7 linked regions of the Callithrix jacchus genome follow. The protein of the gene in region 2 purifies or fractionates together with the protein of the main gene of each other region. This does not show direct contact. Links are inferred from orthologs where the notes say so. Each region holds a gene or a part of one and is shown on either strand. Other genes may lie near its edges.

Region 1 (4,254 bases), on a different chromosome or scaffold from region 2:
CCAGACTGTGACCCTTGACATCAAACCGTGACACCCTCTCCTCCTCTTCAACCCTCGGGCGCTTTTCCTTACTGTGACCTAGGACTCGTCCCCAACGGAAGCCCCGCCAACCCTTGCACCGCAATGAACCCAACCTCCTTCAAGCCAAAACTTCCCAACCTGTCGCACCTCTAGACCACCCCACTTGCCACCAACCACATCCTCTCCAAATCCAATCCTTATTTGCGACCCTTCAGTGATGACCCAGCAGACCTCCAAAAAGCCTCCTCTTCCCAGATCTCCAGCCGGGTCTGGGGCTGGGTTGCGGAGGGGAGGGTCTGGGAGTCCACACTTCACCAACCTCCCTTCCCACTCTTCTATTCCACATTGCAGTGTTTGGAATAAACCATGTTTTTATGCCTCCTCAGTCCAAGCCTGAGCTCCGTGTCTGTTAGCCCCCCTCGACTTCTCTGGGGGAAACAGAAACACAAAATTCCCATGGGAAGAGGTGATATTATTAGAGAGAAGAGACTCTGAAAGGAGGCGGGGAGACAAAGACCAAGAAAGAGGCAGTGGGAAGAGACCCTGGAAAGAGAAATCGAGAGGGTACTGGGGCAGATAGAGACCCCAAGAGAGGGGTGAGCTAGATCCCGGAGACAAAACATTTTAGGATCAAAGGTATGGTTTTATTTCCTATGGCTACAGGCACCAAGGCTTGCTAGATTCTTAATATCCTGTTCATGCAAGCTAGGAGAGTTGTCTGACATATCCCAACCAATCCGCATTATCTTGAATGCTGTTAATCTCACCAATGAGAATCTATTTCTAACATTTCATTATGTCAATTAGCCAAACCGCTGGTGCTGATGGACGATAAAGAGAGTCGAATCACTTGTAATAGCTGCCCCCAGAGGGTGGACTATCTGATTAAGTGCTCGCTGACCAGAGCCTCAATGTAAATGTCTAGTTAGGCAATTGATTGCCCCTAGAGGGTAGATTGAACCGCCTAACTTACAGATAATATCCATCCTGTCTACAGGAAGGCATTTTTGAAATAAGTTAAAGCCATGATAACAGGGAGAGAAGAAACCGGCCTTATGGGTCCTCAGGGAGCAGAAACCCAGTCTCTTTGCCAGTGAGAAAACAAATTTGCATATATGAATAATTAAGTAGAAGGAATGCTCTGGGAATCAAAGTGAAATATAGGCATAACAGGCCTCCCTTAGAACTACAACTCCCAGAGGCCCTTGCCACTACCGCGAGGAACAGCACCCAAAGTCACGCGAAGATGCAATTTCTGCGTATCCTCAGTCTTCTCCCGGGGGCGCCATTTCCTGAGTTCTCCCGCCTTTACGCACTACCCTCTCTAATTAGCGGTCGCGGAGGTTTCCAAGGTAACCTCGCAGTACGGCGGATCTCATTAGAAGGAAAGCAAAACCCGGAAGTGACGCTCTAACCGGGCGTCGGCGATAAGAGGGTTCGAAGATGGCGGCGCGCAAGGGTCGGCGGCGCATGTGTGAAACCAGGGAACCCATGGAGGCCGAGTCCCGCCACACAAGTTCCGAGGGCCCGGCCCAGGTCTACCTGCCCGGCCGGGGGCCGCCGCTACGCGAAGGGGAGGAGCTGGTCATGGACGAGGAGGCCTATGTGCTATACCACCGAGCGCAGACTGGTAGGGCTGAGAGTCCACACTCCAGGGTCTTGAGGTGGTTGATCCCGAGCCTTTTTTTTTTTTTTTTTTTTTTTTTTTTTGAGATGGAGTCTCTTTGCTGCACAGGCTGGAGTACAGTGGCTCGATCTTGGCTCACTGCAACCTTCGCCTTCCGGGTTCAAGTGATTCTACTGCCTCAGCCTCCCGAGTTGCTGGGACTACAGGCGCATGCCACCACGCCCGGCTAGTTTTTTGTATTTAGTAGAGACGGGGTTTCACCGTGTTAGCTAGGATGGTCTCGATTTCCTGACCTCATGATCCGACCGCCTCGGCATCCCAAAGTGCTGGGATTACAAGGCGTGAGCCACTGCTCTCGCCCAGATCTCAAGCCTTTAACCTGAGAGGTGCTCGGGAAGAGAAGGCTGGACTCTAAGGTGATTTCACATCAGAGGCGGTTGATCCATGAGGGAGGTGGGGACTGAGATCTCACTGTCCAGTCTTAACTCGTAAAACCCTCCTTCCATCCCCAGGCGCTCCCTGTCTCAGCTTTGACATAGTCCGGGATCACCTGGGAGACAGCCGGACAGAGCTTCCTCTTACACTTTACCTGTGTGCTGGGACCCAGGCCGAGAGCGCCCAGAGCAACAGGTAAGACCCGAGGCTTTTCCAGGACCAGGAGGCTCAGTTTCCAGCCCCTTCCTTAGGACCCAAGAGTTAGGGCTTCCAGTTGCTGCCTGTCCCAGACCCAGGAGTCTGGGTTTCCAGCCTGTCTCCTTCCTAAGAATCCTGAAATCTAGTGCCTAACTCACCCCCCACTTTCTACCAGACTGATGATCCTTCGGATGCACAATCTGCATGGAACTAAGCCCCCACCCTCAGACAGCAGTGATGAAGAGGAGGAGGAAGATGAAGAGGATGAAGAAGAGCAGAAGCCTCAGCTGGAGCTGGCCATGGTGCCCCACTATGGTGGCATCAACCGAGTTCGGGTAAGCATGGTCCCAGGAGCAGACATGGTCCCAGGAGCCTGCTCTGCATTCTCTGAAACACACCAGACCCATTCCCTATGTCCATAACTCTCCCAACAGCTCCTTGTGTCTTTCATTTTTTTTTTTGAAATGTAGTCTCGCTCTGTTGCCCAGGCTGGAATGCAGTGGTGCGATCTTGGCTCACTGCAACCTTCTCCTCCAGGGTTCAAGTCATTCTCCTGCCTCAGCCTCCCAAGTAGCTGGGACTATAGGTGCCTGCCACCACACCCAGCTAATTTTTTATATTTTTAATAGAGACAAGGTTTTTGCCATGTTGGCTAGGCTGGTCTTAAACTCCTGAGCTCAAGTGATTAGCCTGCCTCGGCCTCCCAAAGCGATGGGATTACAAGCATGAGCCACCACACCCAACCTCCTTCAGTTTTTAGAAAAGTCCAGCTGGGGGGTCCAAAGTGGCTCCCGCCGGAGCTCATGGCGCTCGCGAAGGCGAGGTCATCAGTCCAAGGCTAACCTGAGCCACCTCATAAGCTCAAACTGATTGGCAAAAAAAAAAAAAAAAAAGTCCAGCTGGGTGTGGTGGCTCACATCTATAATCCCAGCACTTTGTGAAGCTCAGGTGGGCGGATCACCTGAGATCAGGAATTCGAGACCAGCCTAGCCAACATGGTGAAACCGAGTCTCTACAAAAAGTACAAAAAATTAGCCGGGCATGGTGGCATGCACCTGTAATCCCAGCTGTTCCAGAGCCTGAGGCAGGAGAATTGCTTGAACCTGGGAGGCAGAGGTTGCAGTGAGCCAAGAACGCGCCACTGCACACCAGTCTAGGTGACAGAGCGAGACTCTATCTCAAAAAAAAAAAAAGTTTGAATGGTCAAGGCTGAGCACTCATGCCTGTAATCCCAGCACTTTGGGAAGCCCATGCAGAAGGATTGCTTGAGACCAGGAGTTCCAGACCAACCTGGGCAACAAAGTGAGACCCCATCTCTACAAAAATTATGTTTTTTTTTTTTTTTGAGACAGAGTTTTTCTTGTTGCCCAGGCTGGAGTACAGTGCACGATTTCAACTCACCGCAACCTCCACCTCCCGGGTTTAAGTGATTCTCCTGCCTCAGCCTCCCAAGTAGCTGGGATTACAGGTGCACAGCACCACACCTGGCTAATTTTGTGTTTTTAGTAAAGACAGCGTTTCTCCATGTCGGCTCTGGTCTTGAACTCCCGACCTCAGGTGATCTGCCCACCTTAGCCTCCCAAAGTGCTGGGATTACCAGCGTAAGCCACCACACCTGGCTACAAAAAACTGTGAAAAGCTGGATGTGATGGTGCTCGCCCATAATTCCGCCTACTTGGGAGGCTGAGGTGGGAAGAGCACTTGAGCCCAAGAGGTTGAGTTCAGGGCTAGTGGGTAACTGGAAACCTTGTGGCTAGACTGGGTATCATAGTGAACAAACACAGAGGCAAAGAGATCCAACGACTGAACCTGTGGCCTTCCAGTGTTTAGAGGGTTACAGAGATCAGGAGCCTGAAAACACTGCCATGGGCTGGTGGGAATTACAGCCTTGACTCCCAGGCATCTTGGAGCTCTGTCCTCCCACCTCAGCTCCCCCACCCCCATCCTGTGGAGAGCCATCCCAGTTACAATGC
Region 2 (3,686 bases):
GCTTTAAAATATCCTTAACATATGTTTCAGGGATTCATTGGATAGTGTTCTTTTTCTAAAGAAGATTGATAGATGTTGGCAAAATCATTGCAGACAAATGGTAGGTTGGAAAAGGTATTATATTTCAGCTAAACACCGTATTAATAGTTAAAAACATTTCTTCAAATGCAGGAATGTTAATTTTTAAAACTTGACAATAGGGAGATTGCTTCAATATCTGTTCCGTTTTTATATTGGAAACTAGTTTTGGTTGAGTTTTCTATTTTAAAACCACAGGTTACAGGTAAACTTGCATTTCAGAATGACTCGCACCTTAGGTTCATTTTTATTTTTGTCACACCAAAAATGTATTTATCTCATTCATTAAAAAGCTACATTTTGTCTGTCACTCTTATTTTTTTTCCTCTCTTGATGGTTTTCCTGTTCAATACTTGATTACCTGTTAAGTTGCCTGATGGTCCTTATTTTAGTTTATTCAGATGACAACCTTTTCCATTTTCCTTAATCTGGTATTAGTTTATATCTTATATTCTACAGATCAAAATCCTAAAATCCATCCCCCCCACCCCCAACTGAAAACTAAAAACCTCACATGTGTAATGTAAGGCAACTTCATTGCCTAGCACTGTGGCTAAGGAAGAATTATATGAGTGTCCCCTTGATTCCCTGTTATTTTTCAATTACTTCTCAGGTAATAAGTCAGAGGGAGGGTCATTTTAAGTGCCTTCCTTTCTAGAAAACACAACAAGGATTAAGACAGTCAAATAATAAAAATGATATGGGCCTATTCTCAGATAGATATGTTTATCTGCATATTAGATCCTAGTAATTAATATATATACAGACGAACCCTTCAGTTTTATTCTTACTGAAAGCAAATATTTCAACTTCACAACGTATAAAAATTGTTTGATTTCTTTTTTTTTTCCATTGGCAGATCATGATCAGGAGCATTTTTTTGTTTCTGGATAGAACTTATGTTCTTCAGAATTCAATGCTACCCTCCATTTGGTAAGGATGCCGGTAAAACATGAAAAGATTGTTCCAAATCATACTCAGATCTTAATTACACTAATGAAAGAGTATAAGCAATACTGTGAATATTCTAAAAATTCACATTTGGCTTCTAGGCTTTCCTTTGTAGCAGTTTTATCTTCCTAATAATCTGTCTTTGCTAATATTGAAGATAGCTAACATTACTATATAACCCTGGGCATATATTAATTTATGAAGACTTTTTTTGTTAAGGGGACTAAAATTTGCTCTGGAATGTCTATGATTGTGATTCAGTTTGCTGCTGATCATCAAGAGTTCACTCATTTAACATTATGGAAAAGTCCATGTATACATGAAAATAGAATGGTATCATGAACTCTTCCCCCTATCATGTACCTATCATCTGCTTACAGCAATGACAGAATTCCCTGCTTCTTGAGTATTGAAACAAATTGATAAATAACCAAATAAGCTTTCAATGCCAGTACAGTGAAAATTGTTTTATGTCTTTGAACTAATTTTGTCTCTTTATTTGAGCAAGAAAGAAATCCATAAAAAGAAATAATACAACAAAACTTAGTTATGGAGGAAAATAGGAATTTAGCTTCAGTTCTCATTAAAGACAAAATGAGTTTCCTGTATGCTTTAATCTAATAATGTTATTCAAAATTAAATATGTGGATTTTATTCTTTTACAATTGCTGCTTCAAAGCCTGGGACTATAATTAACATGGCAACATGTGGTAAGAAGTTAAGCAAACCTCTTCAGAAGTGGTATTGTCAAGTAATTTAGATTATATGTGTTTTTTATTTTAGGGACATGGGACTGGAGTTATTTAGGGCTCATATTATAAGTGATCAGAAAGTCCAGAATAAGACAATTGATGGCATCCTTCTCTTGATTGAGAGGGAAAGGAATGGTGAAGCAATTGATAGAAGTTTACTCCGAAGCCTTTTAAGCATGCTGTCTGATTTGCAAGTAAGTTAACCACTACACATATTTTACAGAGTTGATTGCTATTCCTAGTTTTTTTCCCCCCACATAAGACAGGTAATGTGCTGATGTCATAACAAGGTTTGAAGGAAGCACATCTCATACATGAGCATAAAACCCCAATCAGCATGCTTCTAAACTACAAAAGGATCCTAGTTTGATGTTTAAAAACCAAATCCATAATGCTGTTTACATAGACATATAGGACATTTAGTAAATATTTACTAAGTAAATCATATCCTTCATTTTGTTCTCCCTCCCAGATTTATCAAGATTCTTTTGAACAACGATTTTTGGAAGAAACTAACCGGCTCTATGCAGCTGAAGGCCAAAAATTAATGCAAGAAAGAGAGGTATTTAAAAATCATGACTAATAAATTCACTGTCTCTCACAGTAGACCTTACTTTGTAGAATATAAACTTCCCTTTGCATTTATCTTCCCAACATTGTGATGCTCTTCTCTCACTTAGGTGCTCCTTTCTTTTCTCTCTTCTTAAAGGCCAGAATTCTGGATCATAAACTCTACCTATAATTTTACATATGATTCTACCCTGTCACATTTGACAGGGCTGCTCCCAGGATCTTTTGGACTTGACATTTTCTGAGTGATTTATGGGGAGGAAAACAATAATATAAAAAACTATCTTTGTAGGTTCCTGAATATCTTCATCACGTTAACAAACGTCTAGAAGAAGAAGCAGACAGACTTATTACTTACTTAGATCAGACCACCCAGTAAGTATTACATGCTTAATGTAATTGTCTTAAGCTGTTGTTAAATGACTTGTAGCACTTTAGGCATCCTAACAATTAACTGTTTTCAGTTGTGATTTGAAATGTTAACAGTTGTTTTCATAATGCAAGCTTCAAGTTATTCTTTCCCTAGTTAGTTTTCATCAAGGATTCAATTATTAGGGGGGTGTGTGTGTGTGTGTGTTTAGAATGTAATTTAGAAATAATATTAGAGATTGATATGAACATTAAACTCTTCAGGCCAGTTAAAATTCAGTGGATTCTCCTATTTCTGTGCTCTCCTAAGTATTGTCAATCGAGGGGCTTCTGTAAATAGTATATCTTTACCTTCCTGATAAAAGTAGCAAAACTTGGAAAAAGCCAGCTACAGCAAGATCATGGAGATATTTATTTCATGATGTAAATCGAATTCTAAAAGAGGCATTTAAAAGAATTTTTCCCATCAATTCCTTTGTGTTTTCTTCTTTTAGGTATAAAGTATAGTAACTCTAAGTGCCAATAAATGTATACATAGGATAGGAATCTTGAAATTAACACAAAATGAGCTATTTGATTTTTTTTTTCCTCAGGAGAGGCTTTACATTTTCTGGAATTCAAACGTCAATAATACTAAACTTTTTTTTTTTCCTTGCAGGAAGTCATTAATTGCTACTGTAGAAAAACAACTCTTAGGTGAACACTTAACAGCAATTCTTCAGAAAGGTAATTGGCAATTTGTAAATTAAGAGATTACTTTTTAAATGGTAGTGGCAAACTAGTAGGGAATTTTTTAAAGATGTTGCTCTTTTAAAAGTTTGATAGCATGTGGCTGCATTTCTGAGGATGGACATAATCCTTATTAATCACAGTAAACTTCCTGGAGGTGCCAATTTTCTTATCTGAAAGATACAGGAACTAGAAAGAAGAAAGGGATCCACCAATACCAATAAAGAAACAGTGGTT
Region 3 (4,456 bases), on a different chromosome or scaffold from region 2:
GGAGTAAAGTGGTGCAACCTCAGCTCACTGCAATCTCTGCCTCCTGGGTTCAAGCAATTCTCCTGCCTCAGCCTCCTGAGTAGCTGGGACTACAGGCGCATGCCACCACACCCAGATAATTTTTGTATTTTTTAGTAGAGACGGGGTTTCACCATGTTGGCCAGAATGATCTCAATATCTTTACCTTGTAATCCGCCTGCCTAAAGAATTGAAATGGCACCCCACCCATTTTCATGGTTCAGATGATTTTATATTGTTAATGGGAGGTCATGGCAGGAGCACTGCTTGAGCCCAGGAGTTCCTGACCACCCTGGGCAACAAAGTGAGACCACATCTCTACAAAAAATAGTAATTAAAAAAAATCGCTAAGATAACACTATTGCCAAAATTGAAATACAGATTCAATCCAATTTTTTTTTTTTGAGATGGATTTTCGCTGTTGTTACCCAGGCTGGAGTGCAATGGCAAGATCTCAGCTCACCACAACCTCCGCCTTCTGAGTTCAAGCAATTCTCCTGCCTCAGCCTCCCGAGTAGCTGGGACTACAGGTGCGCACCACCATGCCCAGCTAATTTTTGTATTTTTAGTAGAGATGGGATTTCACCTTGTTGACCAGGATGGTCTCGATCTCTTGACCTCGTTATCCACCTGCCTCGGCCTCCCGAAGTGCTGGGATTATAGGCGAGAGCCACCGCGCCCAGCCCCAATTTTTCTTAAAATCCCAACTGACTTCATTGTAAAAAATGACAAATTGCTCCTAAAGTCTGTAAGGAAATTCAAGAGACTCAGAATAGCCAAAACAATCTTGAAGAACAAAGTTCTTTTGTGAGAACAAAAGAACTTAAATGTCTGATTGCAAAACTTACTACAAGGCTATAGTAATCAGGACAATGCTGTATAGGCCTAAGGATAGACAAAGATTAATGGAATAGAATTAAGACACAGAAATAAACCATTATCTTCAGCTAAAAGTTGAGAGATGGGAAAAAATATTTTTAAAAAACCCTTGATGCACAGACACTTTTCAAATGAAGACATTTATGCAGCCAACAAACATGAAAAAAAGCTCATCATGGCTGGTCATTAGAGAAATGCAAATCAAACCACATCGAGATGGTAACCTCACGCCAGTTAGAATGTCGATCATTAAAAAATCAGGAGACAATAGATGCTGGAGAGGATGTGGAGAAACAGGAACACTTTTACACTGTTGGTGGAAGTGTAAATTAGAACCATTGCAGAAGACTGTGGCAATTCTTCAAGGATCTAGAAATAGAAATACCATTTGACCCAGCAATCTCATTACTGGGTATATACCCAAAGGATTATAAATCATTCTATTATAAAGACACATGCACACGTTTATTTTGGCACTGTTTACAATAGCAAAGACTTGGAACCAACCCAAATGCCCATCAATGATAGAATGGATAAAGAAAATGTGGCCTATATATACCATGGAATACTATGCAGCCATAAAAAAGGATGAGTTCCTGCTCTTTCCCCAAGCGGCCTGAGGTAATCTGTGAAAATGGTTCGCTATTCACTTGATCGGGAGAACCCCACAAAGTCATGCAAATCAAGAGGTTCCAATCTTCGCGTTCACTTTAAGAACACATGTGAAACTGCCCAGGCCATCAAGGGTATGCATATACGAAAAGCCATGAAGTATCTGAAAGATGTCACTTTACAGAAACAGTGCGTACCATTCCGACGTTACAATGGTGGAGTTGGCAGGTGTGCCCAGGCCAAGCAGTGGGGCTGGACACAAGGTCGGTGGCCCAAAAAGAGTGCTGAATTTTTGCTGCACATGCTTAAAAATGCAGAGAGTAATGCTGAACTTAAGTGTTTAGATGTAGATTCTCTGGTCATTGAGCATATCCAAGTGAACAAAGCACCCAAGATGCGCCGCCGGACCTACAGAGCTCATGGTCGAATTAACCCATACATGAGTTCTCCCTGCCACATTGAGATGATCCTTACTGAAAAGGAACAGATTGTTCCTAAACCAGAAGAGGAGGTTGCCCAGAAGAAGAAGATATCCCAGAAGAAACTGAAGAAGCAAAAACTTATGGCACGGGAGCAAATTCAGCCTTAAAATAAATGCAACTAAAAGGAAAAAAAAAAAAAAAAAAAAAAGGATGAGTTCCTGTCCTTTGCAGAGACATAGATGAAGCTGGAAACCATCATTCTCAGCAAACTGACACAAGAACAGAAAACCAAACACTGCATGTTCTCACTCATAAGCGGGTGTTGAACAATGAGAACACATGGACACAGGGAGGGGACCATCACACACTGGCGCCTGTTGTAGGGGTGAGGGGGGTAGGGGAGGGATAACAGGGTGGGGGGATTGGGGAGAGATAACATTAGAATAAATACCTAATATAGATGACGTGAGCATGGATGCAGCAAATCACCATGGCACGTGCATACCTAGTAATAAACCTGCAGGTTCTGCACATGTACCTCAGAACTTAAAAGTATAATAAAAAAAATTTTTAAAAACCCTTCATGCTTATGATCAGCTAATTTTTGGCAAGGATGCCAAGACAATTCAATGGGGAAAGAAGAATAATTTCAACAAATGGTGTTGGCACAACTGGATATACACATGCAGAAGAATGAAGTTGGACCCCATCTTAAACTATATACAAAAATTAAATGAATAAAAGACTTCAATGTCAGAACTAAAATTATAAAACTCTTAGAAGAAAATATAGAGGCAAATCTTTGTGACCTTGGATTTGACAGTGGTTTCTAAGACACTATACCACCAAAAGCACAAACATTCAGGAAAAAAATTGAAAAAAATCGACTTCATCAAAATTAGAACTGATAACTCACTGAATGGAAGAAAATATTTAAAAATTATATGTCTGATAAGGGACAAGTATCTAGAATATATAAATACCTTTACAACTCAATAATAAAAAGACAGATGACCCAATTTAAAGATGGGCCAAAGATTCAAACAGACATTTATTCAGAGAAGATATATGAGCAGTCAATAAGCATATAAAAAGATAGTATCATTAGTCATCTGGGAAATTCAAATTAAATCACAATGAGACATCATCTCCAATAGGATGGCTGTAATCAAAAAGACAGATAATAACCAGTGTTATTGTGGATATAGAAATTTTGGAAGACTCATCTTGTGGTAGAATTCTAAAATGGTATAGCCACTTTGAAAACTGTTTGAAAAACAGTTTGGCAGCTTCTTAAAAAGTTAAACATAAAGTTACCAGATAACATGACAATTCCAGCTGGGGGCGTGGTGGCTCATGCCTGTAATCCCAGCACTGTAGAAGGGCTGGGCGGGATGTTCACCTGAGCCCAGGAGTTCGAGACCAGCCTGAGTAACAGAGACCCCATCCCATCTTAGAAGAGAAAAGAGAAGAGAGAAGAGAAAGGAAGAAAAAGAAGAGAGAAAAGAGAAAGGAAAGAAAGAAAGGAAAGCAAGGAAGAAATGGAAGGAAGGAAGGAAGGAAAGAAAGAAAGAAAAAGAAGGAAGAAAGAAAGGAAAGAAGGAAATAAATTCCACTTCTAGGATGTAGTCAAGAAAATTGAAAGCTTATGTTTACACAAAAACTTGCACATGAATGTTCATAGCATAATGATTAATAATAGACAAAAGTGTAAATAATGCAAATCCCCAGCAACTGATGAGTGAATAAAGTATGGTATATCACATAATAGAATATTATTTAGGCCTAAAAGTAACTAAATGCTAATATGTGCTACAATGTAAAATTAACCTAGAAAATATTATGCTAAGTAAAAGGCCATATATTATATTACTCCATTTATATGAAATGCCTTCAAACCCACGGAAATACAAAGTTGATAGTTAGTTGTCAGAGGCTGGAGAGAGGGGACAATGGGAGTTACTTTGTTTCATGGGTAGAGTTTCAGTTTGGGAAGATGAAAAAGGTCTGGCTATGGATTGTGGTGATGGATGCACAACAATGTGATGTACTTGGTATCACTGAACTATATACCTAAAAATGGTTAAAATGGTAAATTTTACGTTTATATATATTTTACCACAATAAAGAATTATTTTCACAGATAAAGGAGAGAGAGAGAGACAGAGAAGATGAATTGAATGTGGCAAAATCCTAATAATGGAAGCTGGATGATGGGCACACAGTTAATTTTTTTTAATACTCTTCTCTAATTTTGTGTGAAAATTTTTCATAACTAAAAACATAATATGGAGACAGGCAAAATAGATGTCTTCTTAATGACAATTCAGCCTGATGGGGCAAATACATGGAAAAACTTGTTGCAAAACAAATAACAAACACAGCTTTGACCATGCCTTTCTCCTGCCTGAAAGTCCTCCGAAAGCACCTTATCACCTACAGAGAAAAAACTAAGACTCTCTGTGACCCTCTCCTCTGCTCACCTTGCTGCCCTCATCCTGCTTTTCCCTGACTTTCCATTTCTT
Region 4 (3,686 bases), on a different chromosome or scaffold from region 2:
CCACAGGTAGTAGGGAAGAATGTACTCTTGTTAATTGTGTATGATCGTTTCCCATCTCCCTGGATTCATTGGCCTGCATGATGTTATCTTTATTCAGACGGCTCCTCTAACCATGTTTACAACTATCAACCCTGTGATCATCCACGGCAGCCTTGTGACAGTTCGTGCCCTTGTGTGATAGCACAAAATTTTTGTGAAAAGTTTTGTCAATGTAGTTCAGAGTGTAAGTATTTGTTGCTTTGATGCAATTGCATGAGAACTAAATAGGCCTTTGGTCAGCAATTTAAAAAATCAAAAAGTGAGAACACAGGAGCACTCCCTTGTTTACTTTAGGAAATTCATCGATTCTACAGGTATTGATTGAGCCCCATACCTGGCCCCTGCCAGTGACCAGTCAGTTGCCTGGGTGTTGTGTGTCTATGTGTGTGAGGCAGGCAAAGTTGTATTAAAGGAATCCGAATTTTATTTTTTTCTTCTTTGATCATTTAAATTAAGTCATATTAAAGTCGGCACAGATTGTAAGAGAAATCTAGAAGGAGCTACCCACATAATTTTTGGGCACCAGAAGTTGTCAGAGTTTAGGAAGGTTTTAGTCTTCAGAATAAAGGAATGTAGCACAAATGTAGGGGATTATAATAATTGTTTAATGAAACTGCACATTAAGCTTGAATACTAAGGGAGTGTTTAGAACCAGGAGCTATTAGAATGGTCAAGGACCATGGATATTGTTTCATCCAAACCCTTTATTCACACTTACTTTAAATATATACATTATTTAACAAATGAAAAATGGAAGAACAACTCAATGGTGGTCTTTTTCAGTACAAACAGCTTTAACTTCGCTGTTAATACTTCCATTTCCTTGTCTATACAGTAGAGTAATAAGGCGGTTGTGAGGGTTGAGTCAGTCAGATGCTCAGTACAGCCCTTGCCACATATCTTTCTGCAAGTTCTTGCATATGGTGATGATTGTGATAGTCATGGTGTTGATGATGAGTGAAGAACCTCCACACCTCTCTCTGAAGGTCAAAACCGCTTTCCGGGATGCCGCTGCAAAGCACAGTGCAACACCAAGCAGTGCCCATGCTATCTGGCTGTCCGAGAGTGCGACCCTGACCTCTGTCTTACTTGTGGAGCTGCTGACCATTGGGACAGTAAAAATGTGTCTTGTAAGAACTGCAGTATTCAGCGGGGCTCCAAAAAGGTGAGCAACAAGTTGCTTCTGGAAGGTTGTTTTTAGTGATGCTAATCTCAGGATTGTCTTAGATGATTTCACTGGGGCAAAAAGTAAAAGTGATCCTTGAAAGGTACAACTGATAAGAGAGAAAGCGTTGATAATTTTCTCTGGGTAATGCACTCTGGGGCAGTCTCTTCATTCTAGAGAACACCGTACTGTGTTGGTGGGAGAAACCAGCAAATTCTGAGAAGTAGCCATTCATGGTATCAGATTTGAAATAGGAGCTGTTTAATAGAGATTTGAATTTCTCTTTATCTAGTATCCTTAATGCAAATAAATGGTGATTTCTATCAAAACACAGAGTCATTCTCATCAGATAGTATTTATAGGTTCCTTACTATGTAGGGTAAAAGATGAAATTTCCCACGGCAGGTTTTTATTTACTTAGTTCCTGTTTAATAACCTTGGAAAAAACCCAGCCAGGAATTATATATTTGAATTCTGGGAATTGTATGTAGGTAATTTTAACTGTATCAGTCAGGAAGTAATTATTGAGCAAAAGAAACTGCAACAACATGTATTTGGGAAATTTGTCTTTTTTTTTTTTTTTTAGGGTAGATGATAGGTTTTTCTCTTCAGTCAGTTCTTCTTATAATAATAACTGACATTTATTAAGCATGTAAAAATAGCAGGCACTGTTCTAAGTGCTTTAGTGGATTTGTTCATTGATCTTGATAACTCTGTGAGTGAGGAATAAATGTTAACCCCATTTTACCGGTACAGCAAACCCAAAGTCACAAGATTTGTAAAGGAGCAGGAGATCAAATCCCCCAGGCACTCACTCCCATTAACCTGCTCTTATGCTGCGTGTGTGTGTGTGTGTGTGTGTGTGTGTGTGTGTGTGTGTTGGGGGGTGTGGAGTAGACATATCTTTGATTGTTGGACCATTTATTTATGATTGAGATCACACTTTTTACCAACAAGTCCCCTTCAACCAGCAGTTCTGCTCCAGGCAAAACACTGAACTTCTCTTTGTTTTGTTCCCTTGTGTCTTTAAACCAAAGTCTGTGTTTATGGCAGATAGCTGTACAGGGTGGCAGGTTTTTTGTTTTTGTTTTTAGCTGTGATTTTTTTCTCTTAGGCATTTAAATCATTTTACTCTAGGCAGTTATATATCCATTTAGGTCATTGGGTCATGGTGATGCTGGTTCAGTTTCTGATGGCAATACCCATTCAGACCTAAAAATCTCCATTTCTCCCCCAAACAACTTGCCATTGCACTGCTTCCTCAGTTTGTTCAGAAAGAGGGTAATACTATTGATACTGACATGTCCTCTTTGTAAGACATTTTTTAGCTCTTAAAAATGTTAAACTATGTAGATACTTTTTTACCAATTAGGTTTCATTTGCATAGCAATATTTAGCTATAATTTAGTTTCTGCACAGAAGAGTATTTGGGAAGTTCACCTCACAGGTGAGTGGTAGGATGTTCCAGAATAGGAATAGATTGGAAGCTTGAGTGATCAGGAAGCCTTTGTAAAGGTCATAAGAAAATTTTGAATGAAAGCATAATAATGAGCCATGTTGAAAAATTGGCATGTGTTTGGGAACACATCCCTAACTCTATAATTTACTGCAGTGATCATCTTGGCCTTTCTGCTGAAAATAGACTACTGGACTGACAAGATCATGATGCCACCTCTTGGTAGATTTTCCTGAGGAAGTAGGGTGGAAGAACAAATTTAAAAGAAAGCTGCTGTGGGCTTCAGAGGGAACAAATGCCAGTGAAGAATCGGGGTGTCCTTGGGGGCATCTAGAACTGGTAATAGATGTCACTTGACGGAAGTAGAGGGAAAGTTATGAAGAGGAAGGTGATTTGGAGGTGCCCTTATATTAAATTCAGGATGAAAGTAAATTACTTAAGAAAATCAAGGGCTGAGGAGACCAGGCAGCCAAAGTGCAGCAGTAATGCAAACAACCAACAGCACCAAAAGTTTTTTCTGTAAGACAGTGATACTTCTCTGCTCTGTAAGAAAAACATAATTTTCATACTTAGCCAGCCATTCTCAGCAGCTTTCACACTGACTGAAGGTATGTGTCCATTACTGCCTTAGAACAGGTCTGAAGATTGACAGCAATAGCCTTGTTTTTATTCTGTAGTCTAATTTGTCCCTAGTCCATCTTTACCCTCTTCTTTGATTATATGATTGTGTTTTCTTCTCTAGCATTTATTGCTTGCACCATCTGATGTGGCAGGCTGGGGAATTTTTATCAAAGATCCTGTGCAGAAAAATGAATTCATCTCAGAATACTGTGGAGAGGTAAGCACTGATCACCTATATTCAGGTGGCATTGTATATAACAACTTTTCTTTATTTTAGATTGATTTCATTTGGTAGGTCTGTGGGTTTGATTGGAAATGAATTGCCATAAACTGCCTTTTCAGCCTGGACTTCTGCAGGTTGTGGATTTGCATGCTTAGTAACAACTGGATGGTGCTGGGTGCGGT
Region 5 (3,686 bases), on a different chromosome or scaffold from region 2:
TACCTCAGCCTCCTGAGTAGCTGGGATTACAGGCACCCGTTACCATGCCCAGCTAATTTTTGTACATCTAGTAGAAATGGGGTTTTGCTGTGTTGGTCAGGCTGGTCTCGAACCCCTGACCGCAGGTGATCCTGCCCGCTTCAACCTTGCAAAATGCCGGGATTACAGGCATGAACCACCAGGCCCAGCCAACCATGATTTTCTTATTTACAAAGTACAGTTCAAACCTGTGACCAAAAAAAGTGTTGTGAGGAAGTACTCTCTTTAAAAGCAGTTTTCCGTCTATGAATTTCCTAAAAAATAGTGCATTGCAAATCACCTACCATTTAAAATAAAAACATGTCAGAAATTTGGAGGGAAAAAGAGTGTTACTGTTCCTATGGCATATTTTTCCTTTATCTAAATCACAGAATTTTTTTCTACAGCAGAAACGTAATTCATGATCTCTAGATCGTACAGGTTTAGAAATTGATTGTCAGCATTTTCTCTCTTTTTTTGTTTTTTGAAGCATAACGGCCTTGTATCATGGAGTTTGTTACAGTGGGATCTTAATCATGATAATGGTGGCACACATGGTGATTTTGATTGATATATATAATCAGTATTTCCTAGGATTATAGTTATCATATATTATATAAGGAGATAAGACTAAGAAGCCTCTGAAGAAAATCTGCCATTTAGTTGTTTTTGAATCCTCTTGAAACAGTCTCAGAACAAAGTTTGTGACCAAGAGTAACTTATTTCTAAGTTAGGAATAAGAAACCTTTGGTTATCCCAGCTTTATAATCAATCACAATATTAACTTAGATAAGTTATTTATTTTCTGTGAGCTTCACCTCCCTCATGAGATCATTAAGAATCTCTCTTTTAAATTAGAAAATAAATAATATCATTGAGCTGTTTCTAGGTCCTTTTTTCCTCATTTTAATGAAATAATTTGGGTTATATCATTACATATAAGTATACCAATGGGGCCTTATTGACAAGTTTGAGGGTCAAACAACAAAATAAATTCCATATATTAAGTATATTGTTGTTCCCTTTTAGGAGATTGTAAGAACAACGTTCTTGTACCAGGAACCATTCAAGTAAATGGCCATGGAGGACAGCCATCAAAACTTGTGAAGAGGGGACCTGGAAGGAAACCTAAAGTAGAAGTTAATACCACTAGTGGTGAAATTATACACAAGAAAAGGGGTAGAAAGCCCAAAAAACTACAATATGCAAAGCCAGAAAATTTAGAGCAAAACAATGTGCATCCCATCAGAGATGAAGTAGTTCCTTCTTCAACATGCAATTTTCTTCCTGAAACTAATAATGTAAAAGAAGATTTGTTACAGAAAAAGAATCGTGGAGGTAGAAAACCGAAAAGGAAGATGAAGACACAAACACTAGATTCAGATCTCCTAGTCCCTGCAAGTGTCAAGGTACTAAGGAGAAGTAACCGAAAAAAGACAGATGATCCTATAGATGAGGAAGAAGAGTTTGAAGAACTCAAAGCCTCTGAACCCCACATGAGAACTAGAAACCAAGGTCGAAGGACAGCTTTCTATAATGAAGATGACTCTGAAGAGGAGCAAAGGCAGCTGTTGTTCGAAGACACCTCTTTAACTTTTGGAACTTCTAGTAGAGGACGTGTCCGAAAGTTGACTGAAAAAGCAAAAGCTAATTTAATTGGTTGGTAACTTGTACCAAAATATTTTACTTCAAAATCTATAAAGCAGGTACAGTTAAGGAATAAGTAGAAAGAAGGCTTCTGCTTCCTTGCTGCTATGGTGGAGTAGGGAATGTTATCATTTAATTTGCAAAAAAAAAAATAAACAAAAGCAAAACAAAAAAAAACTTACAAGACACTTCACTTCTTTAAATGAATATATATATATAAATATATACATATATATTTTAAATGTTTGCTATTTATTGCCCTTAGATAGGTTATGCATTTTCACATTCATTTCATTCACTGTTTGAAACAAAAGAAATTGATCTATAATGATTTCCCTGATTTATTTATAGAAAAGACAGTTCTGCTACACTCTTTAGGAGCATAATATTCCTAGTGATAGAGCATTTCATGTTAAAATGAATCATTTTTGACCAAGCAAGGTACATTTCTATTGATACAAGTCATGCCTCTAAAAACAGATGTTATACAGAGTAGCAGTGAATTAAGAAATGTTTCCTCTAAAACATAAATACAAAATTTCCACCATTTGCTACCCTTAAAAGTTTAATTTTAATTATAGAATGTTCATCTGCAAAGTATCTAAAGGAGGCTTTTGCTTTATTCCATTTCTGCCAAACTTAAGAGAAAATGTACTGATGAAGGGAAACATATCCACATTGGAAAACGTTTGACTGTCTAATTTTTCAGACCTTGATTCTTATATCACTCAATCTCTGTTTATTGTGCCAAAGACTGAGAATCAGTGCAGTGGAAAGCCTGTTTTTGACTGTCAGGACAGCATACACTTTTCGATATTGGAAAGGCTATATATTCTAAAGAGCAAGTTATTAAAGAGTTGTGCTGAGATATATCTTTTTTTGGTACTAATAGAAAATAATGCACTGGTGGGTCCTTTGACAGAGATGTTATAGAGGAAATGTTTAAGTGGTTAAAGGATTCAAGGAAAATACAGGAAAAAAGGTATGGGATTTGATGTTTACTTGTTGATCTGGATTAATGTCATTTCTAAACTGTAGACATATCTAATAGGCTAAAATGACTTAACAAAGAAACATGTCTGTGTGTGTATGTGTATATATTGATAAATGGGTATAATTAAATATATATACAAACACATATACTATTACCCAGGTATAAATTCTTTTTTCAGGATTTTTTAGATAGCAGTAGAATAAAAATAATTTTAAAATGTCATACTTTATAGTTTGATTTTAAGGGAGAAATTGGTTATTTTCAATTATTAAAGGTTAAAATAGGCCAAATCACTTTTTATGCAATCATGTTTTATACAGTGGTCTCATTGCACATTGTGTTTTTTCTGCACTTTTTACGGTATCCTTATCATGCTGGTATGTCAATATACACCCTAAAGAAAAACTCCATTTAATGATTGTGCCTTGTATTCTATTATTTTTTGCATCATTAGTAAAATTAAGTTGTCTATTGTAAATGATAACTATATGACTTAGGAGAATGTATTGCTATATGTACTGCTATGGAAAAGGAAAGCAGTTATTTATTTGTTTATGGTACAGTTAGTTATTTTATACCTTAAAAACCAACATAACTACCATTTCTATTGTTTAAAAATTACTGTCCATTTTTTAAAAAATTTAAAGAATGTAGTATTTTCTGAGGACTGGTATGGTACAAAAATGTAACCAAAATTTTCAGATACTACATTTTTAAGAAGTGAGGATGGGGAAAATATGTATCAGCATGACTCTGATGTGGAAAAATAAAGTCTGCAATTGAACCTTGGCAAAATACATTATATAATATTTCTTTAATTATTTCTGATAAGGATAAATATTAGCTGTCATTTAACTGTCTTGAAGAATGCAAAGTGATACATTTGGGCTTTCTAGATCATTTGTAACTCAATTTGTACAGAAATTCTCCTGTGAAATTAAGTAAACCATCTTCCAGATCTTGACTGCATTGCTGTGATTTTGCAGTTAAAAAATAATTTCAAAATTTTCAGATTTTTTGTATATTT
Region 6 (4,173 bases), on a different chromosome or scaffold from region 2:
TTCTCCAAGGGAGAAGCTTCCCCGGTGGCAGAGGCCCCGTTCTCTCTAAATGGAAGGGATTAGGGAATATTGCTAGCAGAAACAGAGGGCCACTTCAGCCGTATCAAGCCCCCTCCACCAAGGATATTGCTCTTGTTATAGAAATAGACACAACACACCATGGTCTGTCCCATAGAACTCTGATGGAAGCTAGTTAACTCTCCAGCACTAGCCCTTGAGACTTCCTTGAAAAGTTTACTTTCTTTTTCTCTGGGGCTGGCAGAGCTTCTGGCTGCTTTGGTAGTCCTGCTGCCAGGCTGGGAGGTGGAGAGGCCTACCTGGTGCAACATTCGAGGGAAGCTGTGTTCCTGGGCTGCCCGCCTAAGCCCCAGCTGCCCTGTGGCCAATTCCACTTGTGTCTTGATCTCATTGCATTCCAGCTCCCGGGTGTCAGGGGTGGCATCCACTGTGAGTACCAAGAAGTTTCATCCTAGGTCTTTCAGCCTCAGAGGATAGTTAGCAGAACTGTACCCAAGCCCACCCCTGTGGCTGAATATACCGGGGTTATAAGGACTTCCTTATTCCCTAAATTATTGCACCTTCTTTTAATGTAATCTATTATTCAAAGTATCACTAATAGGTTTTCTAGTAAAAGTCTTCCAACATTAGGGCCTTTTCCTCTTACCAGGTGGGTTGTATCGGTCCCCAAGACGACCATCCCAAGCTCTGTCATTCTCTTCCTCTGAGTCCAAGAGGGCCTGAATGAATTGTAAATTTGCTGCACCTCCTCCCTGCACCAACCTCACTTGGCCTCTGTGGAGAGACCCCCAGTATAAAGGAGGGGACTTCTTCCCCCAAACCAACAAATTCAGAGTCAATGGCTATCTAGCTCTTAGACCACTTGGTACTCATTTTGAGGTTTCAGGCTGACTAGACCTTGGCTATTATTTTCAGTTTCCTATAAAACACAGTAAGAAAGTGAGTCTTACTTTTAGAACAAGAGCAAAAGCAACACGCTGTGGACATTACCTACTAAGTTGACCTCCCAACGAGCTAAACATTCTCACAGTGTTTCCTTCTGAGCCTCTGCCTGAGAAGTCCACCACAGAACACAATATTCTAAGCTGGGAGCAGTGGCGTGTGCAACTGTAGTCTTAGCTACCTGGGAGGCAAGGAATGCTTGAGCCCAGGATGTGGTGTGCACTGTGATCACACCTGTGAATAGCCTGCTCTCCAGACTGGGGAACACAGTGAGATCCTGTCTATGTCTACTGAAAACAAAACAAAACACAAACAAACAAAAAAGACTACAATATTCAGAAGGGACCCCCATGCTCATCTTCTCCCCAAATAGCCATAAGGAAAGAAACAAAGCTAGCTGCACTCTTCCAGTCAATTCCAGGTGGTCGCTCCCTTCAAGGTACTCTTTCCTCAAGAACAGGTCAGGGCAATTTAAACTTGTTTTTCAAGTAATCAAAGTGGCCTCACATCACGCGTCAATGCCTTACTAAAAAGTTCAACACTCCCTTCCCATCTCTTCACCCCTTACATCACTCCTTTCCCTCCAGGCCCCATTTTGTTTTAAACTTACTTGGAAAATAGATTATATTTGTTTAGTCACAGCGAGAGAGGCTCCCTTGAATAGTCCCTCAAACACATGAGCAGGTCCTCTTGGTGACCCTCCTTAGGTAAGACCCACTCTTACTGGATATGGAGCTGTGTGCCATGGGTGCCCAATAGGGAAAGGCTGTTCTGCTCAAACAGAACGGCTGTTCTGGGCAAATCCCATTTCCTAACCTCTGTAATTTTCCTGCCTGGAGTTGGGATCAAGGGACCGTGGTAGCACCTGGTGAGGTCACACCAGAGGGTAAGTTACCTGCGGAGGAGATAGGCCAGTACCTGGGCCAGATCCACATCTTCATCCTCTTCTTCCTCTTCCTCACTCCGACGAAGGCCAGCCCCTCTTCGGGACAAACCCTCGGAGGGGTCTCCGGACCCGGATCCCGCACTGCTGCTGTTCCGTGATCCCATCTTTTGGTCACAGCATTCTTAGGTTCTGTGCGGGGGCTCCTCCTGTCACCTCCTTGGGTTTGGTGAAAGCAAAGCGTGCTCTAGAAATACCAGGGTCTCCTGAGATGGGGTAGCTATCTCCAGGAGGGTGACCCTTCCTCGGGGCTGAGATCCCTTTTCTTTAGCCTATGCCAACTACCAAGGCGTCGGGAACACAAACCTTCTCCAATCCTGTGAAGCAAAGAAAGAGAGAGTGAAGCGAAGGGCGTCACCCTACCTCACCAATTTGAGAAAGATTTCTCAGTTTTCTACACCAAACTCACCTATTAAAGTCCCAGGACTGGGGAGCGGAAGGGTTGTTGGGCGGTGTTGGATTCCCAGGTAACCTCTCTGACAGACCAATCGAAGCCCCTCGAGAAAGAATGAGCACCACTAGCTTATCTCATCTAACCAATTAGAAGCCTTAAGACTTAAAGACCCTCGACGCCCCCTCTTACCGACCAATCAGAGCGCTTCCTTAGGAAAGCCGGCAGCAGTGACAGCCAATGAAAATAAAATTTGGCCTACCCCCCCTTCTTCCTTGCCTCACGCCCACGTGGTGCGCCGGGGGTGTGTAAGCCAAGAGGGGTAGGAAGCCGAGAAGCACCTCCCACTGAAGCCGGCAGTTACCGCCCCCCGGGAGACCACCCACCAGCCAGGAGCGGTCGCAGGACCCGCAGTGGCGCGAGGCCTTGTTTACACCAACTGCCGCCGCTGCGTTGGCCAACCGCTCCTCCGTCACGAGCCTACCTCGTCACACATCTCGCGGCTTCCTGGCCGGCGGGCTGCAAACGTCACACGACGGTCCCGCCCCCTTGGCCAGCCAACTGGACAGCGGAGCGCCGTGATTGATAGATAGGCGAGAGAATGCGCCAGGGGCCTGAGGGGAGGAGAAAGTGCGCACCGGAGGCGGGCCTTTCGCCCTTGTTGGGGAGGAGTAAGTGGGAACTGGCAGCTTCTTGGATCAGAGACAGCCGAACTAGACGTAATAGCTGAAAGGCAGGGGTTAAAAAAATTGGTGGTTCACTACCGAGAGATATTTTAGCAAGGGATACAACTTACTGTCTGTCCCTAAAAATCATTTGGGCACTTTTCAGACAGTGCCCAAGGCCTCCCCTCCTTTCTCCCCACTTTTTCCTCCGTCCAGCTAGAGCCGTTCTCCTGTCGTCGGCTGCAGCTCCAGTCCTGTCCTCAGGGGTGCTCGGCGTCCCAGTAGGCTTCCACACCTTCCTTCCTGGCTTAGCTTTTGGAAGCCTTGTTCTTGGGACTGCCCCATTTTAGACCTCCCTTTAACCGCTCCGGCAACTTTTTAGACAATCCCTGGCTTTCCGCTGCGGTCTTTGCAGACGCTCCCTAGTATTCGCGTTGTTCTCTCACAGCTTTTCCGGTTCCGGCAGTCCCCTTAGACGCTTCCTTGGCCCTCCGCGAGTTGCAGACCTTCCCTAGACCCTGTGTCCTTGCGGTGCCTCTCCGCCCCCGGCCGCGGGTCCAGGGTGCTCGCGCTGCCTCCTGTCCCCACCCGCCGGTGGTTGAGTAACAAGCCTGAGTCCAAGGCCGGGAATTGCCACATCTGTGATCCTCGGCCACGCTGGGTGGGGAGGCATGTGGGTTGAACGACCTTGTTGTCCCGCGCTCAGAGGCTCAGGATCCGAGCTGAACTTCAGTCCCCGCAGCCTGCACTCCCTTGGGAAAGCTGCGAGCGTCCCTCCGCCCGCTCCTGAGGGCATCGATGGGCTCTTTGCCTTCTTGGTCCCTTCTGGGGCCTCTCTCAGTGAGGGCGAGGGTTTGGCCAGCTTTCGAGCGACGTCTCCTGGTCTCCAGACCCCGAGACCTGAGCCTGTCACCAGGACTAGCCTTGATGGACTCTGCATCCGTATGCTTGGAAGCATCTATAATGCTTGGTTTAATGTTCTACTGTTAACGGTCTTGAAATTCTTAATAATTTTAAAGCAAGTGCCGGGCATTTTCATCTTGCGCTTGGCCCCACTGATTATGTAGGCGGGCGCCCATCACGTATTGCCGGATAACTCACTTTCCGTGCCTTAAGGTTTATTGAGACTTTAGGATACCGTGGTTTCTGGGTTATCCAGCCTGGAAAATCGGAATCTTTATTTATTGATTGATTTCACTTCCATTCTCTCAGAA
Region 7 (4,200 bases), on a different chromosome or scaffold from region 2:
TTCCCCACATCCCCCAACTACTCCAGCCCTGGAAGAAGCCACAGGTTTGGAAAAGAAGTTGTGGAAACCAGACGGGGGTGGGGTGCGGTGCGGTGGGGGACCTAAGAGAGTTTTAAAAAGCACTGGTAATTGTCCCACACAAGGTCGCCCGCTCCAAGTCACCGTTCCGCGCTCCCCAGGTGGGCTTCCCGCCAGAGGGCTTCTAGTTTGAGAGATCAGCCCACCGCGCCCCCTCAGCCCTTCCCTGCGGGCCGCAGCTCCCTCCCGGCCTCTGGGTCCCGGCCGGGGATCGGAATCCAGCCGGCCTCTCTGACAGCGTTTCCGAAGCCCGGCGCCTCTAGCAGCCCCGTCCCCCAGGCTCCACCGTCCCCACCCGCCACCTCCCGGGGCTCCCGTCAACGTCCCAGTCCTTCCTCCGGACGCCCCTGGGGCCGCCTCTCGCGCCCGGTCCCTCCCGGGGCCGGGCAAGCTGTTCCTTTCCTTTCCCCTCCCGCGGCCCTTCTTCGGTGGGGCCCACCTGGCGCGGCCCCCGCCCCCTGCCAGTCTCCTCAGGGAGCGGCAATCTCCCAAGTCCTCCCGGCCCCGCCCAGCTCCCGGGCGGATACAGTTTGAAGCCCCTCAGGATCTCCCTGGCTCGCTCGTCCTTGGTTGACATGATGCGGCAGTCGCCGCCCGCGGCTTTCTCACTCTGGTTGGCGGAGCCTCGTAGACGGTGCCCAGGAGCCGAGGATGGAGCCGCAGTCCGGCCTGGAGACCTCGGGAGAGCAGCAGCAGCGGCCAAACCCGGACCGGCCTCTTTCTCCCCTCAGCTCCCGCTCCTGATCCCTTCTCCTTCCCCCAAGCCTCGAGTGCCCTCCTGGAACCAATGGAAAGCCCGCCTTGGCAATTGGCAACCCAATCAGCCAATAGGAGCGCGCAGCGGCTTCGCAGGGGGACTGTGAACGTCAATGGGAAGGGCCCACCCCGGGAAGTCCCAAAGGACATAATATTCATCTGGTGTTGTTGCCTAGAGTTTGTCCCAGCGGAGGGTTGCCTTCGGATATGCAGAGGCTTTAGGGACCTGCTCTAGCCGCTGAGCACACTAACCGGCAGCTAGTTGCACTGTGAGACGGCAGCTAGTTGCACTGTGAGATGCGACAGACTACATTTCCCAGCATGCCAGCGGTGCACTCAGGGACCACAGATCCCAGCGCACTACAAAGAGGCCTGGGGACTACAAATCCCAACATCCCCTGCACTCAGTTCCTCTGTAACTTAAGGCTCCAGTGTGCCGCGCAGTGTGCGCAAATTCATAAACCCGCCAGCTGAGTTGGTGGTTTCGGAATCCTGAGACTTGAAACCAGGCGGGAAGACCCTTCTCACCCTCCGAAGAAGATGACACCCGCAGAGAGTCACCTTCTGTTTACATGGAACTCAGACATCTTCTGCAAATCATGGTAAGGCACCAAACAACAAACAAAAACACTGATTGAACTGTGAAAGATAACAAAATGACTTCTTCAAGTCGTGCTTGTTTGTTGGTCTGAGGCGTCTTTTACGTGTTTTTCAGGGGTTTTTGCTGTATTCCTGCTTTGGATCGTGAGAGCTATGGGTTGTACACACGATATCAATACAGAAAGGGACTTTGCTAATCTACACCCTGTTTTTATGTATGAGGAAACTGAGGCCCAGAGAGGCGAAGGGATTGGTCGCAGATCACAGCAAGTTCGGGCGGAGTTAGAATTCGGCCCTAAGTCTGCTGACTTGCAGTCCGGACTCTGCACCACACTAAGGAGGTGATATTTTTAGCAGGATGGCAATGTGAATTCTTATTCTCCTTGAACGGTTTTCCCATCCAGTGTTGAAACACCCAGAGATTAGGTAGCATTTATTTGGTGATTTCTTGTAAGTAAGGGAGTGTGATATTTGTATATTTTCAGCCTAGGTATGACTTGGTGTTTTGTTCTTTGCCACTCAAAGTGACATTTAACGTGATTTCAGGAAGTAGGTAAAATTGCAGTGTGAGCCACGGTTTCCTTGGAGACCTCCTATGTCCTTCTCTTGGCCTTCCTTCCTCTGCCTGTCCTCGCTTTCACCCATCTGGGAACTCACCCAATTTTTTCTTCCATGTAATTCAACAAACATGTTTTCAGCCTATTATTTGTTAGGCCCTGAGTGGGTAAAAGGTGAAGGACATGGTCACTGCCACCAGGAAGATAAACAAAACATCTATTTAGAGAAATAAGGAGACTCCACTGAGATTCAAGATGGAGTGTGGTAAAATGGCATAAAGAAATGACATCAGAATGCTAAGGAGGCCCTGATAAAAAGATTCATTACAGCTGGCAAAAGTTTAATGAGAAGGTGACATTTGAGCTTGAATTTTTTTTTCATGTTAAAAAAGTTTTTGTTAATGAGGTGTAACGTACATACAGTAAGGGAACAGTTTTCACATAGGTATACACCCCTGTCCCTGCTGCCCAAATCAAGATAAAGAACATTTCTAGCATGCCTAGTGCTCCTTCCCAATCAGTATTACATTCTTACATATTGAGATAATCACTCTTTTGACTGTATCACCATAGATCAGTTTTGCCTGTTGTTGAATTCCAGTTAAATGTAATCATAGAGTATGTACAGTATGTGTCTGGCTTTTTAACCTTGTCAGTATTTTTGTGAAATTCATCCTTGTTGTGTGTAGCCTTTTAACTGCTGAATAGTATTCTGTTGTATGCATATATCATAATTTATCTTTCCCACTGTTGGTGGGCATTTGGGTTGTGATTTTTTTGGACTATTATTAGCAAAGCTGTAGTGAGCATTCTTACATGTATCTTTTTGTAAACACTTGCACACACTTCCAGGATAGGAATTGCTGGTGTGTAGGGAGGGTTTGCACATGATCTGTGATAGTAGACATTGCTAGTCTTTCAAAATGATTGTACCAATTTACACCTTCACCAGAAATATGAGAGTTCTAGGTGCCTCTTATCCTTGTCAACACTGGATGTTTGCTGTCAGTCTTCTTAATTTTAGCCATTCTAGCTGAATGTGGTATCTCATTAAGGTATCTATTTACGTTTTTCCTGTTGAGCACCTTTCAATGTGCTTCTTGGCTAGTTGAATGTCCTCTTTTGTGAAGTGCCCGCTCTTTTTCTGACTTTTAAAAATTGGGCTGTCTTCTTGCTGATATGTAGTTCTTTACAGTCTGGATATGGAGTTCTTTGATATATGCTTTGCAGATGTCTTTTCCAAGGTGTGGCTTGTCTTTTCATTCTCTTACTGGTGTCTTCTGAAACAAATTATTATTATTTCAAGGAATGGGGTCTCTGCTGCGTTGCTAAGGCTGGAATGCAGCGGCTATTCACAGGTACCACTACAACCTTGAACTCTTGGGATCAAGTGATCCTCCTGCCTCAGCCTCCCAAGTAGGACTATGGGCATACTCCACTGCATCTGACAAGCAGAAATTCTGTTTTTGAGATGGAGTCTTGCTCTGTGGCCTAGGCTGGAGTGCAGTGGCACAATCTAGGCTCACTGCAATATCTACCTCCCGAATTTAAGTGATTCTCTTGCCTCAACCTCCCAAGTAGTTGGGACTACAGGCTCCTACCACCACGCCTGGCTAATTTTTATATTTTTGGTAGAGACAGGGTTTCACTATGTTGGCCAGGCTGGTCTCAAACTTCTGACCTCGTGATACGCCCACCTTGGCCTCCCACAGCGCTGGGATTACAGGTGTGAGCCACCGTACTTGCCAGAAATTCTTAATTTTAACATAGTGCAAAAGTTCCATGTTTTCTATTATGGTTAGTGTTTTTTGCATTGGATTTTAGAAATCTTTGCTTGTAGAGTTGGTAGGATTTTTACAGGAATATATAAGAGCATTACAAAAAAAGAGAGCAAGCTTGAGCACAGGCCTGGTGTCTGGGAAGGAAGGTTTAAGTTGTGCCAGGCATGGGAGTTTGGACTGTGAAGCGGGTGGGGTGCAACAAAGCAAGCTCGAGGAGTTAGGAGGGAGGCACACTTTGAAGGGCTTTAACTACAGCCATGGGCTGGGTGTGGTGGCTTACACCTGTAATCTCAGCACTCTGGGAGCCAAGATGGGAGGGTCACTTGAGATCAGGAGTTGAAGACCAGTCTGAGCAACATAGTGAGACTCCATTTCTAAAAAAAATAGGAACAAATTTGCTGACTGTGGTGGCACACATCTGTAGTTTT

Evidence for each region.
Region 1: the proteins of CUL4B (region 2) and GRWD1 purify together in Homo sapiens (co-immunoprecipitation; 4 studies listed by BioGRID and IntAct, with this or other methods). This does not show direct contact. The link is inferred for Callithrix jacchus from reciprocal best matches to the Homo sapiens genes CUL4B and GRWD1.
Region 3: the proteins of CUL4B (region 2) and DCAF10 purify together in Homo sapiens (affinity purification with mass spectrometry; 4 studies listed by BioGRID and IntAct, with this or other methods). This does not show direct contact. The link is inferred for Callithrix jacchus from reciprocal best matches to the Homo sapiens genes CUL4B and DCAF10.
Region 4: the proteins of CUL4B (region 2) and EZH2 purify together in Homo sapiens (affinity purification with mass spectrometry; 4 studies listed by BioGRID and IntAct, with this or other methods). This does not show direct contact. The link is inferred for Callithrix jacchus from reciprocal best matches to the Homo sapiens genes CUL4B and EZH2.
Region 5: the proteins of CUL4B (region 2) and PHIP purify together in Homo sapiens (affinity purification with western blotting; 8 studies listed by BioGRID and IntAct, with this or other methods). This does not show direct contact. The link is inferred for Callithrix jacchus from reciprocal best matches to the Homo sapiens genes CUL4B and PHIP.
Region 6: the proteins of CUL4B (region 2) and DCAF11 purify together in Homo sapiens (affinity purification with mass spectrometry; 9 studies listed by BioGRID and IntAct, counting the BioPlex papers as one, with this or other methods). This does not show direct contact. The link is inferred for Callithrix jacchus from reciprocal best matches to the Homo sapiens genes CUL4B and DCAF11.
Region 7: the proteins of CUL4B (region 2) and COPS7B purify together in Homo sapiens (affinity purification with mass spectrometry; 6 studies listed by BioGRID and IntAct, counting the BioPlex papers as one, with this or other methods). This does not show direct contact. The link is inferred for Callithrix jacchus from reciprocal best matches to the Homo sapiens genes CUL4B and COPS7B.

What each region holds. Positions count from the first base shown.
Region 1 is NC_133523.1:42,324,822-42,329,075, forward strand, and holds the start of GRWD1 (glutamate-rich WD repeat-containing protein 1), read left to right. Parts: upstream 1-1,441; 5' UTR 1,442-1,464; coding exon 1,465-1,651; intron 1,652-2,160; coding exon 2,161-2,278; intron 2,279-2,456; coding exon 2,457-2,616; intron 2,617-4,254. UniProt on the Homo sapiens protein: Histone binding-protein that regulates chromatin dynamics and minichromosome maintenance (MCM) loading at replication origins, possibly by promoting chromatin openness.
Region 2 is NC_133524.1:116,424,106-116,427,791, reverse strand, and holds part of CUL4B (cullin-4B), read left to right. Parts: intron 1-30; coding exon 31-100; intron 101-937; coding exon 938-1,011; intron 1,012-1,812; coding exon 1,813-1,975; intron 1,976-2,037; exon of another isoform or gene 2,038-2,141; intron 2,142-2,253; coding exon 2,254-2,343; intron 2,344-2,643; coding exon 2,644-2,726; intron 2,727-3,378; coding exon 3,379-3,446; intron 3,447-3,686.
Region 3 is NC_133502.1:144,782,478-144,786,933, forward strand, and holds the start of DCAF10 (DDB1- and CUL4-associated factor 10), read left to right. Parts: upstream 1-1,495; 5' UTR 1,496-4,456. UniProt on the Homo sapiens protein: May function as a substrate receptor for CUL4-DDB1 E3 ubiquitin-protein ligase complex.
Region 4 is NC_133512.1:98,905,995-98,909,680, forward strand, and holds part of EZH2 (histone-lysine N-methyltransferase EZH2), read left to right. Parts: intron 1-97; coding exon 98-223; intron 224-1,025; coding exon 1,026-1,204; intron 1,205-3,402; coding exon 3,403-3,498; intron 3,499-3,686. UniProt on the Homo sapiens protein: Polycomb group (PcG) protein. Catalytic subunit of the PRC2/EED-EZH2 complex, which methylates 'Lys-9' (H3K9me) and 'Lys-27' (H3K27me) of histone H3, leading to transcriptional repression of the affected target gene.
Region 5 is NC_133505.1:84,280,546-84,284,231, reverse strand, and holds part of PHIP (PH-interacting protein), read left to right. Parts: intron 1-1,047; coding exon 1,048-1,685; 3' UTR 1,686-3,686.
Region 6 is NC_133509.1:58,421,664-58,425,836, reverse strand, and holds the start of DCAF11 (DDB1- and CUL4-associated factor 11), read right to left. Parts: upstream 2,829-4,173; 5' UTR 2,779-2,828; exon of another isoform or gene 2,487-2,778; intron 2,401-2,486; 5' UTR 2,313-2,400; intron 2,221-2,312; 5' UTR 2,011-2,220; coding exon 1,856-2,010; intron 793-1,855; coding exon 665-792; intron 446-664; coding exon 318-445; intron 46-317; coding exon 1-45. UniProt on the Homo sapiens protein: May function as a substrate receptor for CUL4-DDB1 E3 ubiquitin-protein ligase complex.
Region 7 is NC_133507.1:153,234,591-153,238,790, forward strand, and holds the start of COPS7B (COP9 signalosome complex subunit 7b), read left to right. Parts: upstream 1-1,281; 5' UTR 1,282-1,436; intron 1,437-1,549; exon of another isoform or gene 1,550-1,775; intron 1,776-4,200. Other genes in the region: PDE6D (retinal rod rhodopsin-sensitive cGMP 3',5'-cyclic phosphodiesterase subunit delta), read right to left, coding at 606-655. UniProt on the Homo sapiens protein: Component of the COP9 signalosome complex (CSN), a complex involved in various cellular and developmental processes.